Schizosaccharomyces pombe: one gene and its partners. The gene in region 3 interacts genetically with the main gene of each other region. Each region holds a gene or a part of one and is shown on either strand. Other genes may lie near its edges. The genes, in order: ace2, orb6 and pkd2.

Region 1 (5,146 bases), 980 kb from region 3:
TAACGTTTGCGTTAATTATATAACACAATTTAACATTTCTCACAATTTTTAAAATCGTAATGCTGAAATGAAAATCCTGATTCCCTTGTATTAATATCGACAGTTTGTCACTAATTGATGTCAATTATATCCTATTGAATGATTCATATATGGTGATTTAGTGTAGTAAAGGCTTGTAAACCTGTGATTTTGTGTTTGCATAAGCTACGACGAGTTTTCGTATTTTTTGGTTCTTTGCAAATAGAAATGAATTATCTTTTCTCTTGCCGACAAAATTTCCTCCAATGACCAGCAATAATAGTTAAAACAATCATTGGTTTCTCTGTTTAAGTCATAGTGATTAATTTGTTGAATTATTATTATCATAATAAATGCTTGCTTGGCAGCATACTACAACCACTGTTTTCCAATGAAATACTTCGCATACTATAGTAATTAAATACAAGTTTTCCCTAGAAATACCAACTTAAACATATGTTGACTAAACATCGGTGCGAGTGAAAGCAAACACTAATTCTTACTCATGTATCCAAGTTGTTTGTCAGGTTTGGGGAAACTAGTTTTACCATTTCAGCCGTTCAACGATACGAACAACTTCATAGTTGTATTTCCATTTCACAAAGATTAATCTGTAGATTTTAGATGATGCAGAGTTATACACAATACTAGGGTGATGAATAAATATACAAAAGACAGATACAAGTTGATAAATTATCAAAATTGTCACAGCATTAGTTCATGTACGATGCTTGAATTTGAATTTATATAAAAGCAAATTAAAAACAATAATATTAGTAAAATTAAAAAATCCCAAAAAAAAACCAAACATAACTCATTATAATGCAATGCGATGCAAGTTGTACAGCTGTCATCATTAGTGCTGTCTGCGATCTACGCCGCCAACACATATATTTCTCTGCTTATGCCGATTTAAGGCATCAAGTCGGTTAAATCTCTTTAAGCATTCACATACATATGGCCTGCCATTTTCGTGAATCCTCAGATGACGCTTAAGATCGTGGTGACGAACAAAGCCAGCTTTGCATAAGTCACAGCGATACGGACGGTCGCTCAGATGTGTTTGAATATGCGATTCAACATTATATTTGCGAGCAATACGTTTATTGCACCCGTTGTACAAACAGACGTACTTTCCATCTGCTTCAGGGCCGCAATATAAGCTAGCCATTGTCTCCGGAGGAATTCTACAAATCCTAGTTGATTGCTTGCGAGTTTTGCATCTATGATCGTATGAAATTCTGACCGGAGGTTTGGAATCATGCTCGGTGACTTGAGGAGTAATTGATAAATCAGCAGATTCAATTTTTGGAGCTAATTGTTCTTCTTCCTTGACAGTGATACAAGGTTCAGGTTTCTTGGTAACTATGCAAGATTCATAAGGTGCACTTAATGCAAACTGCTGTGTCAAAGTGTTGTTGATATTTGCGTTCGATATGTCAAGTCCATGATCGCAAACGGATGAGAATTTTTCAAATTCAGAAACGTATTCAGCAGGTGATGATAACTTTGCAAACGCTTTCTGGTTGTCAGTATGCCTGCATACATCCAAATGGGAAAACGAAGAATCTAGAGCAAAGGAGGGCTTTTGAGGCGAAGTGGGCTCTAGCTTTACAAGTTGGGCAAATGGGGATACAGGGGAGATATTAGGTGCAGTCTCTGGACTCGATAAGTCTACAGGATGTGCCGGACTTGGTTGGGATATTTGAAAGTTCAATTCTTCAAATGAAGGCGCACCGTTTATCTCATCTAATCCAGGGGGAGAGGATGGGAGGAACATAAACTCATTAAATGATTCCAATTGCGAAGAGCTGGGAAGAACGGAAGAGGCAGGACCCGAGGTTTCAGGTATACTTGAGGAAAGGTAGTCGAAATTTTCGAGGTGATCTTTGTTGGAGCAAGTTTCCGTCTTTATTTCTGGTATGTCAAACTCAGGAAACGAAAGGACTTGTTGTTGAGAGTCCAGCTCATCAATCCAATTTGATGCATCATAACCAATTTCGGAAAAGGCCTGTTGAGAGTTGGTCAAGGAAAATGCGTCATTGTTATTAAAATTTTGCTCGGTATGGATTTGTGATACGCAAGTTAAAGGCGAGGAAGGGGGTGATAAGGAAGCATCAAAGGAGGATGCATACGAGTGAGAGTCGGGGAGCGATATTTGGTTCGATAAAAAGTATGCAGAATTCGCTTCCAACAAAGGGTTAAACGGTGTTTTTAGAACAGAACTATAGTCAAACTGATCTTGAAAGTTCTGAAGATGAGAAGGCGGTGAAGGGATAACAGCTTGATTTAAAGACACCTCATTTTCAAAGGGAGCGAAGGAGGAAAAAGAAGTATGCTTGCTATCGCCAAAAGTTTCATAATCCCTTTGGTACGAATGATTACAAGCTGGACTCTCTTCTTGTCGAAATGATTCAAACGACTTTTGCGAAGAAGATGATAAATATGAAAGCGACATTGTCTTGTTTACTTAGGATAGCGAGTATCTAGTGCAATGCGTAGAGAAATCAAGGAGAGAACGATGAGAGAAATGACTCTTGAAAAGAGTGCTTGATAACTTGAAGTGAGATGAAAGTGTGGCTCAAAGCCAGTCTAACCCAGTAGATGATTGAACTAATCACTCTTCGATTTTTTTTTGTTTGTTACAGCAATGTTTGGTGCGCTGGCTATTTGTTTATATCAAATAGCTACTCCGTTGCTATGACGACAATTGTTGAATTTTATGCTTCACTTTACCGCAAAACAAGTCACTATTTGTTTACATTGCATGGATTACCGAACCATATCACAACAACGCAATACAAGTGTAAACACAGACCCAGGGATTGTTTATTTACCTTTTGTTGCCAAAGGGACAAATCAACTATTTTTTGAATTAAACCAGTAAAAGGTTTGATTGAAAGACACTACCACTAATAAACAGGATAATCACGGCTATGAAAATGTCTACGCTTCAACAACTGGATCATGGATGATATTAGAAAACATAGATTAAGTATGACAAGCCAAAAAAAAACGGTAACCAACCTGAAAAAACGACAACGACGTTGAGATCAAAAACCTTAAGGTATTAGTATTAGTATAGAGCTAGCAAGAGAAAAAATGCCATGGAAAAGTTTTTAAATGCAATGAATAAGTTACTTACAACACTGACAATCAAAAGGGCAATCCGGTGTACCTCCACCTTGGCCAATGTTTAATTCCTCCTCGTCATATACAAGAAACCCTTCCTCGGTACGCTTTCCTAAAACACAAAACGTTAATACAATTACTGATGATAAGGAGAAAAGTGCCGTTGCTAGGTAAGTATTGCATCGTTCGGCAAACATTCCCGTAAACAGAATAGCGAATAAGGTTCAATACCACACAATAGAGCTTAATGATTTGGAGTCTCCACCAACACTAAACATCATTGTGAAATGTATCTCCCTAGAAAAACGTAATCTAGCTCTAGCAGTATATAATAAATAAATAAGTATATAGCACAGTTCGAAGTTTCTCAATCTTTTAGACAATAAATATGAATTTGAGGTCAAAGAATTGACAAACAACGCGGATGCCAAACATGAACGAATGCAATCATTAACCAAGTAGCGAGAACGTATGTAAGGATGAACTATCAAACGGCAAAAAGTGTCTTACTTCCTGAGGCTCCCTTTGGATCTAAAAATAAATCGTCTTGGTTATTAGTAGGTTTTGGACGACTTGGAGTAGATTTTGTCTTGGCTCCTTTCTTAGGGGCTTTCGCCTCCGACTTTGAGTCATTTGACTTTTCATTTGCAGGGTTTGCCTTTTTAGAAGCAAAAATGTCGTCGATTTCCATCTTTTAAATACTCGTAGAGAGGAGTTTGCCAAGTCAATGGCAATTGTATAATTGAGTAGAGAGACAGTTTGTTGTAGCTTGCAAACTTGCTAGAAATTCTTTTGCGGTACCGTGCTTCATAAAATAAGAATTCTCTAAAATGCTTAAATCTGCATAACGTATTCTCTCGTATTACGGTAAAGAATTTGTAATATTTATAAGAATGATTCTTCAGAAGAAACTTGTACCAGCATTAAGGCATGAGATTGATCGATTCCTTTTTTTTCCTTTGGTTCTTTATTATGTTTAAAATTGTTTAATTTTGTTTAGAAGCTGTATCACCTCTGTCATCGGTATTTCGAAACGGCAATAAAATGTAGACAATTCTTTGGCCAAGCTTTCTTTATAAAAGCATATTTAGGTCAACTCTATCCTAATACCATAAATTAACACTTTTTGTCTTCATTTAAGAAGCGAATTATTGCTGTATCAAATTAACAAATGCAAAATCTCATTGCTTAATAAACGAAATACTTTAGTAATTAAGCATAAGATAAAAATAAAGTGAATACTATTTGACAATGAAAATCAGCTCAAAACCTCTGTCAATTCTTTTTCAGCCTAGAAACCACCTTAGAGAAATAAGGCAAAACATTTGAATACAAATATACAAAACACAAATTATTAGTGGTAGAACAATTCAAAAAATTCGAAACCTCTTCTTCAGTTGATCAATTCATAATTAGAAATACAATTCCTTTTACAAAGTTTACTTCCTTACTCTGCAAAAGCGCCTCTATACATAGCAAACCGCAACAAAATTAAATACCTATATTACCTAAATTAAAAACATAACTTTTTTTTGACCAACAAAATGCCATGCTTAAATTGGCGAGACGTAAAAATGCCGTGCATTTCAATTTAACCAATGGAAACCTTTTCTCCTTCAGACTTTCACTCTTTTAGGACCGGACTCAAGCTCTTCATCATTTTCAGTGCTGCGCTTCTCCCCCAAAGGCTGAGTATTGGCTGAACTGCCAGAAACAATACGACCATACTGGCGTGCACGTTCATGAACACGCTTAGATGGTTCATCCTGTTTCATGAAACGATACCATTCATCAGGAGCTCGACGAAAAAGCTCGACCTTCCAGTTTGAGCAAACTTTTTTGCCATAGAAATCAAATTTGACGTCGTCACCACCTTCAGCCAACTCACGAACAATTCTTGTACGATAAAGCGGCAATGCCCTTGTGGCCTTCCACGCTTTATCTACAATATGCGAACCAGGAGCAGAAACAGCTAATGTAGCAAATGATCCGGAAA
Region 2 (5,428 bases), 3.2 Mb from region 3:
AATACATAAACATCATTTCTATAATAGTACTTGTTTTAACGTCCTTGGCTTGGTTTTTATTTAATATCTTTATAAGCGAGCATTATCCGGACAAGAATTTATATCTTGCTAGATCACAGTTTCTCCATCATTTTGGCAAAAATCCTTCATGGTGGCTTACTATGCTTTTTGTAATGGTTTGTGCTTTAACAATTGATATTGTTGCCCAAATGTTACGAAGGACTTTACGTCCTACGGACACCGACATATTTGTGGAAATGGAAAACGATGCCTTTGTCCGCTCTCGGTTTGAGCAAGAGAGCGGTGAGTTTTTACAAGCCAATGCACCATCTGTCGATGAAATTGAACAATATTTAAAAAGCCGAGATTAGGCATTTAATTCATTAATCCAATTCTAGTATATGAAACTTTCTTTAGACGATAGTCAGTTTACTGGTAAAATGTTAAAATTCTGGGGTTCCCACTGTTCAATTAGAAATTGTCTATTAGTTATGGGTCATGATCCGCATTTCATAATTATTGTTTACTATTTTGGTTGGTTTTCTTGGCGTTAACATCCTGTTGTACTTATTAATACATGTTTTTTACTCACTCTTTTTTATCTTTTCCCTAATAAAATCTATGCATTAATTTGGAATTCTTATGCAACGAATTTAATATTTACAGAAGTGCATGTAAGATTTTATCAGTAGGGACAACATTAAAAAAAAGTAATTGGTAATATTATTAGTTATGCTAAAATAATGTAAAAGAAGGTAAACATGAATTAACGATAAAAAAAATTCGATAACAATAGTTAGATGCTCAAAGGACAATGAACAAAGTAGCTATGGAGTTTCTTGCAGAAGTCTTACAATGCTCCTTTCATCGTTAAATAATTGAATTTTTTGTAAGTGTACCCAAGGAATGCCAGATTGGTTTGTTCCAACGTCTGAGGGTCAACAGAAGCAGGTTGTTGTGTGACAGGTTGTTCAGGAACTTGTTCAAGCTCATCAACAGGGAAATAATGTGTATCGGTAATAGATTTCAAATTCGGAATAAATGGAGCTGCAGTTTCTCGTATATGATCCCAATCGATTCCAGTAAAGAAAGGATGTTGCATTATTTCAATAGCACCGCCACGACCTAATCTGTGTTCTGAATCTGTCATAAGTCGGTCCATCAAATCACGAGCTTCTATGCTTAAATGTATATCATTTGGGAAAGTCAGAGTCTCACGCCAATTGATGATTTTTCGATAAGTTTCATGAGAGTTTTCACTGCAAAAGGGAGGCCATCCAATTAAGCACTCGAACATGATAGCGCCTAAACTCCACCAATCACAATCTTGACCATACCCTTGTTGCAAGAAAATTTCTGGAGCGATATAATCAGGAGTACCCACAGTGCTATAGGCCATCACCCTACGGTTCTTTTTCCAAGTAGCCATTTTGTCCTTGGAAGACATTGTAAGCCAGATAGCATCTACCATTTGACCACGTTTGACAGTATTTCCTGTGCGAGGTTTCATGTAAGAGGCACTCTGATCTTGCTTGTAAAAACCAGTGGAAAGTCCGAAATCAGAAAGTTTTATATGGCCATCCCGGTCAATCAGTATGTTATCCGGTTTTATATCCCGATGAATATAACCCATTCGATGAACATCAGCTATAGCCAAAACGCACTCAGCCATGTAGAAGCGAGTAACGTCTTCTGAAAAAGTATCATAATTTATTAGCATGGTCATCAAATCACCGCCTGGTAAAAACTCCATAATCAAGTAAAGATACAGTGAATCTTGAAAAGCATAATACAATGACACCACCCATGGGGAGTCAGATTCAACTAATAAGTCGCGTTCTGCTTTGACATGAGCCAGCTGGTCACGTTTGAACATTTCAGTTTTAAGCAAAGATTTCATGGCATAGATTTTACCCGTATCGAGTTTCTGAACCAACCGAACCTATTTAATTAGATACCAAAAACATAAACAATTATGCAAACGTACCTCGCCAAATGCACCTTTCCCAATAACTTTGATGGTAGAAAAATCTTCTAAAGAAAGCCGTGTACGACGAAATCGAAGAAATTGAGACTCTTTTTCACCAGATGCTCTTAACTGCCTATTCTTTCTCTCCTCAGAACCCCTTTCGGTTGCTAATCGTTGCTCCAAATTGATACGTCTAAAGAGAATTAGTATTTATACCTAAAAGTAAATTAAACGGAAGCTAGCATTATTAATTAACATTTTCGAAACAAGATGAGTAAGCTGTCTAAGATTTTATAAACATTCGAGATTATGCATTTACTGCAACACGCGAAGTTGAGAACGGAGAAAGAATTAATAAAAGCATCGTCTTTGATACTTATCCGATCAACGTATAAGATGGGAATACTAATTGAGGAATGTGAAACAATGCTAGAACCCTGAATAGTAATGCTACTCGTACCTTTGGTTGCGCTCTACAGCATGATCAACTGCCACCTTGTAATAATGTTCAATATATTTCTTTGTCTTTTGGACTTTGTCTAAAGTTGATTTCGGAAATAATGAAGGGTTCCGTTCAAAGTGTAAGTAATCATTCTTATCCATATTGAAAGAAATGTTGCAATAAATGGAATTTTTACACTAATTAGAATCAACTACAAGGTCAACGAATTAATTAACAAAAAGAAATTGTTAAAAGATTGAAATTCAATCGCTTAAAACATGAATTAACAAGACATGCAAAACAGAAATGAGACAGTGATAAATCGGATATGGTAAATGACAAGTCCTATTATGCTTTTTTAATTATAGGACTACTGCCAGCTAAGGTATAATCCGATAAAAATATGTTAAACTGCGATACTGGAAAAGCAAGTACTTCTGCAGTTTGTTATATAACTTCAACGATCGCTTGCGATAAGCTCCGCGCATTTCCTAACCCTCCCTGTTCAATATTACGACGCTACTAACTGAAGCCAAGAATCTTAGCTTACGAAGATTTTAGAATCTGAATTGAAATGAATAGTCAAAAAAGACGGACGGAGACATCAATTCGTTCTTCACCATAAAAATATTTGTGTAATAAAAACTAAAGGTGGTGGATCGAACTCTACAGGAATAGTTATCTATTTAATTTGGTGTTTACTCTTCATTTAATAACTTCACATTATTGAAACTCCCATTTAAATATTATAGACAAACAAGTAAACAAAAAAAGCCTAACCGATTTGTATCCAAAATGCAGCTAGCCAAAACGTTGACAATTTCACATAATTTTCAAATCTTTTTTGTGTTTATTTTTTCGAAACCTGAGAAATATTGTCTATATTAATAGGGGTATGTTTAAATGCGCGTTTGCCAGGTCCAACTCCATAACTACTTGCAACTTGACCATTTCCTCTAAGTTGGTACTTGTAAATAGTTAACCCATCAAGACCCATTGGTCCTCGAGCATGAATTTTGTTGGTGCTGATGCCAACTTCGGTACCGTAACCATAACGAAAACCATCGGCAAATCTGGTTGAAGCATTCCAATACACACCAGAAGCATCAATTCCAGCCATGAATCTGTTAGCAGCTGCTTCACTAGAAGTGATAATGCAATCCGTGTGTTTAGAACCATGTGTATTTATATGCTGCATTGCGGACTGTAAGGAAGGTACAGTCTTAATAGCAAGAATCAAATCAGAGAATTCAGTGTTGTAATCTTGATCGACAGATGGTTCAACTAGAGCACTAACTTTTGGCATATCCTTTAAAACCTTAAGAGAAGCGGGATCACATTTTAATGTAACTTTTGCTTCAGTTAAAGTTTCAGCAATTTTAGGAAGATGAGAAGATAAAACAGCTTCGTTAATTAACAAAGTTTCAATTGCATTACATGCTGCTGGATAATCAGTTTTTCCATCCAGAACAAGTTTACTAGCCAATTCCATATCAGCATCCTCATGGACGTACATGGAGCATAGTCCTGCAGCATGACCTAAAACAGGAATTTTTGTGTTATCTTTTATATGGCGTACAAGATTAGTGCTGCCGCGGGGAATAACCAAATCTATGTACTCATCCAATTTTAATAATTGTGATACCTCCTCGCGACTCTGAACAAGCTGCACAGCAGCCTGTGGAACCTTACTTTTGCCCAAGGCAGAGCGAACAACATTAGAAAGTGCAGCGAAAGACTTTGCTGATTCCGTGCCTCCTTTAAGTACAACAGCATTACCAGATTTGATAGCCAGGGAAGTAATATTAATGATTACTTCAGGTCTAGCTTCAAAAATGACTAGCAATAAACCTACAGGGCAAGAGACTTTATAAAGGTCCAAACCATCGTCAAGACTACGAGCATAAGTAACACGACCAAGGGGATCAGGCAAACTTTTAACATCTAAAACACCCTGTACCATGGAATCGTATTTATCAGATGAAGACAGATCCAATCTTTTAACCATCGATGAACTTAGTTTTCCTGATTCAGCCAAGAGCTTAGCTGCTTTCATATCTTCAGCATTTGCAGCTAGAACCTCTGACTTTTTTATGCGCAGTTCTTCAACTATTTTATCCAATGCATCATCACGGTCTTCCACTGATAATGTCTGTAAAATGTTAAAAGCGTTTTTCGCTTCCTTTACATTCTCTTCAAGAGACATGCTAAACAATACTTATACAACTTTGAGTAGAGGCAATTGGGAGATTTAAATCAAGCGAATTCTTATTCTTAGAATGGCTAGCTCAAAAAGACTACTTTTTGTAGTATTTTGGTTGTTTTTTCTAATGTATGAATAATGCAAGTTCGTGATTTATTTAACACCCTTCAAGTAACAAAATCAAGCATTGTTACTTTACATTAAGCATAACTAAGATTTCTGAAAGATACGAAATCATGGAAAGTGAGAGTACTTCTGCAGTTAACTAAAAATATTTTGCAACCTCAAGAACAGTTAGTGTTATATTTTCAGTTTTTGTTTTTCCGTTACTATATATAGTAGCCTTACTTTTCACTTTTCACGTAGTGCAAGAATTATGCTTGTAAACAAAAGACTAAAAAATGAGCAACTGGGTATCTTCGGTTAAGAAATACAAAGATACTAATTTTAAAGTGTGCTTTGTATATTCCATAGAGAATTTGGATTATTACACACTTCGTATTTCTCATGAATAAATTATAGTCATATCGTAAAAGCAAAAACATTTATTAGCATGGTGTCCAGTTATTACTGAATCAATTTGATCTAGTTGTTTTTAATTCAAATTAAAGATGCTTCTAGTTGAAATGCACAGCTCAACAAACAAAATTGTTTGTTCATCTTTTCGGGAAAACATCCTTCAATATAGAGTATCGCTAACGGTTGTAATTGAATTGTTTACAATGGCTGATCAAACTGTTCATTAATATAGTACTTTTTTTTTAATTTGAACGCAATTACTTTGAATTTAATTCCATATTTGCAAAGTTCATCT
Region 3 (6,111 bases):
ATTGTATACTCATAAAATTAAACAGCATTCTATTTGTAAAATGCAAATGTGAGATGAATTCCTAAATTCAAAAAGCGGCAATTTTTGGTGCCGAAAAATAATTTTACATGTCAGATTGAAGTAATAAAGCAATATTACGATGCTCTTTCTTTCTATCGTCGTTTTGTTTGCTCTCTTATTTCTCGAGATCAATAAAATCCTACTTTAATTTTACTAAAATTATATCGCCCAAAAAAATATTGATCCGGTAGCAGATCTACAAATATACAAAAATGAAATGTAACTTTAGCCTCTTTTATTCTTCTTCATAGTTAAAATAAAACAGACGGTTTCAGTAGATCTATAACTTAGCTCTTAACTCACTACTTTGTCTCTTTTAACTTTTGCCATTGATTCATTTCAGTACTGGAGAACATAAGACCAATATATTAAACAGTTTGAACAGCGCGCCCTATAGATTTCCCACAAATTGAAAGAGAAAAAAGTCCTGAGTCGTTATTATTGAACATCTATCAAATTGGATACCGTATTATTGATCGCTGACATTTCATTTTGTAGTTGACAAGAAAAGAAAAAGCGGGTTGAGTAAACTTTACCTTTTAGTGCTTTAATCTTGTTTATAAAGTGAAAGTGGTTGAAAGCTGTGTGGCCTCTTAATTATACACATATATATTTACGCGGTTACTTTTTTTTTATAGTTTATAAATTAAACTGATAGCTTTCGATGATGCCATCATCAAGTTTCCAACAAACTCCCAAACCCGTCGATTTAGACGATCCAAGGTTTGAACAGTACGATTGCTTGCCATGCCGCTTGGTGGGCGCAGGCGCTTTCACAGGTCTAGGAATATATGCCTATTCGCAATCTAGAATTCCTTTGAATACACCCAATTACAAGCTTAAACGATTCGGTATTTTGGGAATGGCTTATGGATTTATTCTTACCGGTGTCTATAGATTGTTTCAATAAAATGTTAATAAACGTCGTTTTCTATTATCAGTTATCTTAAGACGTGAAGAAGTAACTTGAATCAGAAGTAAATGTTTTTTACTAAATTGCATTTTAATCAAACGGGTGAAGTTTTTTTGCTTTCTGATGCACATCCAACAAATATGCTTAAATGGTAACTAAACCTATACACTATAACAATTATGGAATAAAAGAAAAGAAGCAGAAATGAAGGGAAAATTCTGAAATATAATTAAAAAAAGAACCATAAATAAAAAAAAGGATGCGAATACACTAAATAGTTGACTTTTGTCTAAAAATAAGATTTAGACATTGATTGCTTATTGAACCTCCTCGTCGAGTTCATTGTAAGAATGCTTGTGTGAATTGTTTTAAAGGTCTTTTACCCCAAACTTTGTAGAAAATTATAGTTTAAAAAAATCTCAGAGACAACAATTGTATAATAATGAAAGAATGTGTAAGGTAGATGGAATGTAATATATATGTAATACGACACAACATTTTCCATCCACGTTTAACGAAAAGCATTGTTAGGTAATGGTTTGCGTCGACGTTCAGCGTTGTTATTATTTTCAGAGATGCGGGTATAATCTGATTCCATAAATGGTTGTTCGACGTCAGTATTTCCACGAAGGTTGGCATACGAAGCTTCTTCGATAGCGTCCCAAGGGGAAACATATTTGTTATTTGTGAACGTACTGTCTGAATCATTACGATTCGAAAACGGATATTCTGGTGTATTAAGGTCAACGGAGCTTCTCAACGTAGTTCCAGAGTAAGCCGGATCAGAGAAGGCCATGTCGGAAGAGCTCATATCCTTAATAGATTTGTTATACGAGGTAGCCTTCTCGCTTTGGTCATCGAGGATACGGTAATAAGTACCATGTCCTGATTTACGGAACAGGACGATAAGTGTACGTATAAATATACCCAGGATCAAAAGAAGCATTGTAATAGCGTTCAATGCAAAAAATATAATGCCAATAACTTGACGAGCTAATTCCTCCACATAAAAAGCTTGACACATCACTAAAATAAAAGAACCACTTATCAAATTCATTAAAGCAACACCGATATGCAAAGTATTCATGTGTTTAGTGGCATAAGGTCGGAGAATCACCATAAGAGCAAAAACGACAACGCTAATACCAAACATGGCACAGCCCTGGACTTTGGGTGAGCCCTGACCAAAACCGATGAACATTGAGCGTACCAAGGTTATAAGCAACAGTGGGAAAGTAAAGTAAAAGAAACGGACGTCTAATTGCACGTACATAAAGCCCCAACGCATCAAGTGTTGAGTGTCAGAATATAGGTTGTACAAGACGTCAGGATGGGAATAAGGTCCTGTTTTGCGGATAATTTGAATTGTCCGCACAAATGCATAGCAGAGCAAAACTGCCATGTCCACAATCACGTACATTGATAAAAATGCCAAAGCGGAAGAATCACGAGTATAGATTTCCCACATGGACAAAACACTCATTTGAGTGAATCCGACAAAAATCACACGATAGAAAAATCCTTTGGATATAGATTTCCAATAAAGACGGATACGTTGCTTTTTCAAAGCTTGATTTCTGGATGCAAGGAGCACCATTTCAACAATAAATCTAGAAGCCATAGCAACTAGTAATGAAAAGAACAACAATATAATAAAAAAGGAAAACCCAGTAGCAAAGAAATTCGTCGTTTCAATCCCCATCATATATGAAATACGCTTGATTCCCCTCAGGGTAATAGAATCACTTGTGCTAGTGGTGACAGTAGTAGTTGCACGCTTGGCGAGAGAGCCCAAATCAATACCACGTTTTGCGAGGGCGACATTAGCATGTATACCCAAATCTACAAGAGTAGATGGCGTGCCGCCAGTTGATTTAACGTACCATGTAAAAACATCTTGCATGAAGCCAATCCTGATAATACCCATCGACCACATGAAATTACGGCCCCAACTGTAAATGATAGCAGGAAGAGAAGTAGCCATCATGGAATACAAAGCCTGGATTTGAGCAAACTGAAATAAGGTAATCATCGTTTCAACGATTTCCCAAAGTGCGGGTGTTTGAAGAACAGGGGATATCAGTAAGAAAATTAAAAGTGGGATACCGATTACCATACACATAACCCAGTAAACAGCTCTGTGGTAAACAGAACGACCATTTTGCACTGTAGTACGAACACAAGCTAATTGTGTGTTTGTATCTGATTCATAAATATTAATAGTCACAACAGCATCTAAATCCGGAACTGTGTATGCAATGGAGGGAATACTATCAAGAATAGAAAGAGCCTCTCCGGTTAAAGTATGACTACCAGATAAAGCAATATTTCCAGTCTGCATTGGACAGAAGCCAGAAATTTCCATATCGCAAGGATCTATCACCTTCTTTATTTCGATTCCGTATGCACTAATGTCGACGTCTATACTGACATTCGTAGAAACAAGAGATTGTATCGAGATATCAAAGGCAACAGATTGATTGTCCGGAAAATACGAGGCATAGAGCTTACTTGCTGATAACTGTGAATCAGTCATACATGTGGACAGAGAGTCGGCGGAAATGAATCTGGTTAAAGCATCAGCCCATGAAAATAGCTCGACGACCACAACTAAGAGTAAAAGTGGGCTTCTCCAAAGCCTCATTTTGCAGTTGATGGTAGTGAGAAACAGTTGATTAATGGAAAAACAGGAAGGTGAAGTCAAAAGATGATATTAATGAATAGAAAAGACAGACTGTGAATTCCAATGTAACTGAGTCTCAAATGTAGCTAAAATTCTCCACAACCAGTTATTATTATTCTTAAATTAAGTTAGATTTGAAAACTTATTAATTCCAATTAAATCGAGGGATATATAACAATGGGAATGATTAACAAAAATATAGTTTGCTCTGGGTGGCTGTATTATCATCAAAGATTCTCAACCCGTTCAAGACAAGTGATGACTAGAGACAAATCCCGGTACCTGTTACCTTAGATCACAGCCATTTAACATGGAAAACTACCAGCACACTAACCAGTAAATAACTGGTAATTGAGGATTTAATAGTACGATAGACCTTTCTTTTTTTTTTATAAGATAATTTTTATATTCTACAGTGTCAATTGACGCTTAATCAACTCGTAACGTATTAACAAAAGTCATTTTAGCAAAACTTCTTTCATAAAGAAATTCACCACAGCTACTTTAAAATATCATAATGTAAAACTAAGCCTAATGTGACATAGTACGCAGTATAGATAGCGAAATGTTTATTAAAAGACACTAACTTTAGATTAGGAATTTCAATCGAATTTGAACACTATAATTGTTTAACATTTGAAAGTTGAATGAAAAGAATATCGTTAAATATTGCTATTTACTTTGCTGCATAGATTTGACACGTTGCGTTACGGCGGTATACATTTCGCAGTTTTCCACTTTTCCATTTTTCATACAAGCATTTTGCAAATTCCCAAACTCATTAGTAGTCTGCATTCGTTGTACAAGATGGCTAAATCCGAGTTAAAGCGGAAAAAGCATCAATCGGGTAATGAGGAAGTAAAAGAAAAACGTCAAAAACCTTTAAAAAACGATAAAAAAATTGCTGAAGAACTTCCTCAAGACGAAGACGATTACGAGCAGGAAGAGGAAAATGAAGATGCTGACCAAAATACTTCAGTAGAATCAGAAAGTGAGGAATTAGATAATGAAAATGAAGATGAGCGTGTTCAAAAATCTGTCAACCTGAACGCTTCTTCCACTTCGGATATTGAAAAGTTTTCAGACCTACAACTCTCTGAAAACATCCAAAAGGCAATTAAAGAAATGGGCTTTGAAACGATGACAGAAATTCAAAAGCGCTCTATTCCTCCTCTTTTGGCCGGTCGTGATGTTTTAGGTGCAGCTAAAACTGGTAGTGGTAAAACTTTGGCTTTTCTAATTCCTACCATTGAAATGCTTTATGCATTGAAATTTAAGCCTCGTAATGGTACTGGTGTTATTATTATATCTCCTACTCGTGAATTGGCTCTTCAAATTTTTGGTGTCGCAAAGGAGTTGTTGAAATACCATCACCAAACATTTGGTATCGTCATTGGCGGTGCTAATCGCCGTGCTGAAGCTGATAAATTGGTGAAAGGTGTTAACCTATTAGTTGCTACTCCTGGTCGTTTACTGGATCACTTGCAAAATACCAAAGGATTTGTATTCCGCAATTTACGATCCTTAGTGATTGACGAAGCCGACAGAATTTTGGAGATTGGTTTTGAGGACGAAATGAGACAAATCATGAAAATCCTTCCCTCGGAAAATCGACAAACCCTCCTGTTTTCTGCTACACAGACAACTAAAGTTGAAGATCTTGCTCGTATCTCTCTTAAGCCCGGACCCTTGTATGTTAACGTTGATTCTGGTAAGCCTACCTCTACCGTTGAAGGATTGGAGCAAGGTTATGTTGTAGTTGATTCTGACAAACGGTTTCTTCTTTTATTTTCCTTCTTAAAACGCAATTTGAAGAAAAAAGTTATTGTTTTCATGTCATCTTGTGCTTCTGTCAAATATATGGCAGAATTACTGAACTATATAGATTTACCAGTACTTGATCTTCATGGCAAGCAAAAGCAACAGCGTCGTACAAACACCTTTTTTGAATTCTGCAATGCCGAAAAGGGAATACTACTTTGCACCAATGTTGCTGCACGCGGGTTAGATATTCCAGCCGTTGACTGGATCGTGCAGTACGATCCTCCTGATGACCCCCGAGATTATATTCATCGTGTAGGTCGTACAGCTAGAGGAACAAAGGGAACTGGTAAATCCCTTATGTTCCTCGCTCCTTCTGAGCTCGGTTTCCTTCGTTATTTGAAAACTGCCAAGGTTTCTTTGAATGAGTTTGAATTTCCTGCCAATAAAGTTGCTAATGTTCAATCTCAGCTCGAAAAGCTTGTTTCCAAAAATTATTATTTGCAGCAGTCTGCAAAGGATGGATACCGTTCCTACTTGCAGGCCTATGCCTCATATTCTTTAAAATCTATCTTTGATATTAATAAATTGGATCTCGCAAAAGTTGCTAAATCATTCGGTTTTGCTCATCCTCCAAACGTCAATATCACTATTGGTGCTAGTGGACGAACAGACAAAAAAGAACGACGTGCGG

What was found.
Region 1: mutations in pkd2 (region 3) and ace2 impair growth when combined (synthetic growth defect), as found in Schizosaccharomyces pombe (one study listed by BioGRID).
Region 2: mutations in pkd2 (region 3) and orb6 impair growth when combined (synthetic growth defect), as found in Schizosaccharomyces pombe (one study listed by BioGRID).

What each region holds. Positions count from the first base shown.
Region 1 is NC_003424.3:3,238,492-3,243,637, forward strand, and holds ace2 (DNA-binding transcription factor Ace2), read right to left. Parts: upstream 2,663-5,146; 5' UTR 2,477-2,662; coding exon 875-2,476; 3' UTR 741-874; downstream 1-740. Other genes in the region: SPOM_SPAC6G9.01C (uncharacterized protein), read right to left, coding at 3,072-3,079, 3,164-3,262, 3,661-3,841; RNA-binding protein Nop9, read right to left, coding at 4,767-5,146. UniProt on the Schizosaccharomyces pombe protein: Regulates the transcription of genes required for cell separation.
Region 2 is NC_003424.3:1,005,583-1,011,010, reverse strand, and holds orb6 (serine/threonine protein kinase Orb6), read right to left. Parts: upstream 2,749-5,428; 5' UTR 2,573-2,748; coding exon 2,430-2,572; intron 2,163-2,429; coding exon 1,988-2,162; intron 1,943-1,987; coding exon 851-1,942; 3' UTR 693-850; downstream 1-692. Other genes in the region: dnf1 (P-type ATPase), read left to right, coding at 1-371; gamma-glutamyl phosphate reductase Pro1, read right to left, coding at 3,262-4,617. UniProt on the Schizosaccharomyces pombe protein: Interacts with pak1/shk1 and coordinates cell morphogenesis with the cell cycle. It is essential for maintenance of cell polarity and is involved in mitotic control.
Region 3 is NC_003424.3:4,217,507-4,223,617, reverse strand, and holds pkd2 (plasma membrane TRP-like calcium ion channel Pkd2), read right to left. Parts: upstream 3,868-6,111; 5' UTR 3,618-3,867; coding exon 1,485-3,617; 3' UTR 971-1,484; downstream 1-970. Other genes in the region: protein tam6, read left to right, coding at 725-970; ATP-dependent RNA helicase Has1, read left to right, coding at 4,464-6,111. UniProt on the Schizosaccharomyces pombe protein: Acts as a key signaling component in the regulation of cell shape and cell wall synthesis through interaction with GTPase Rho1.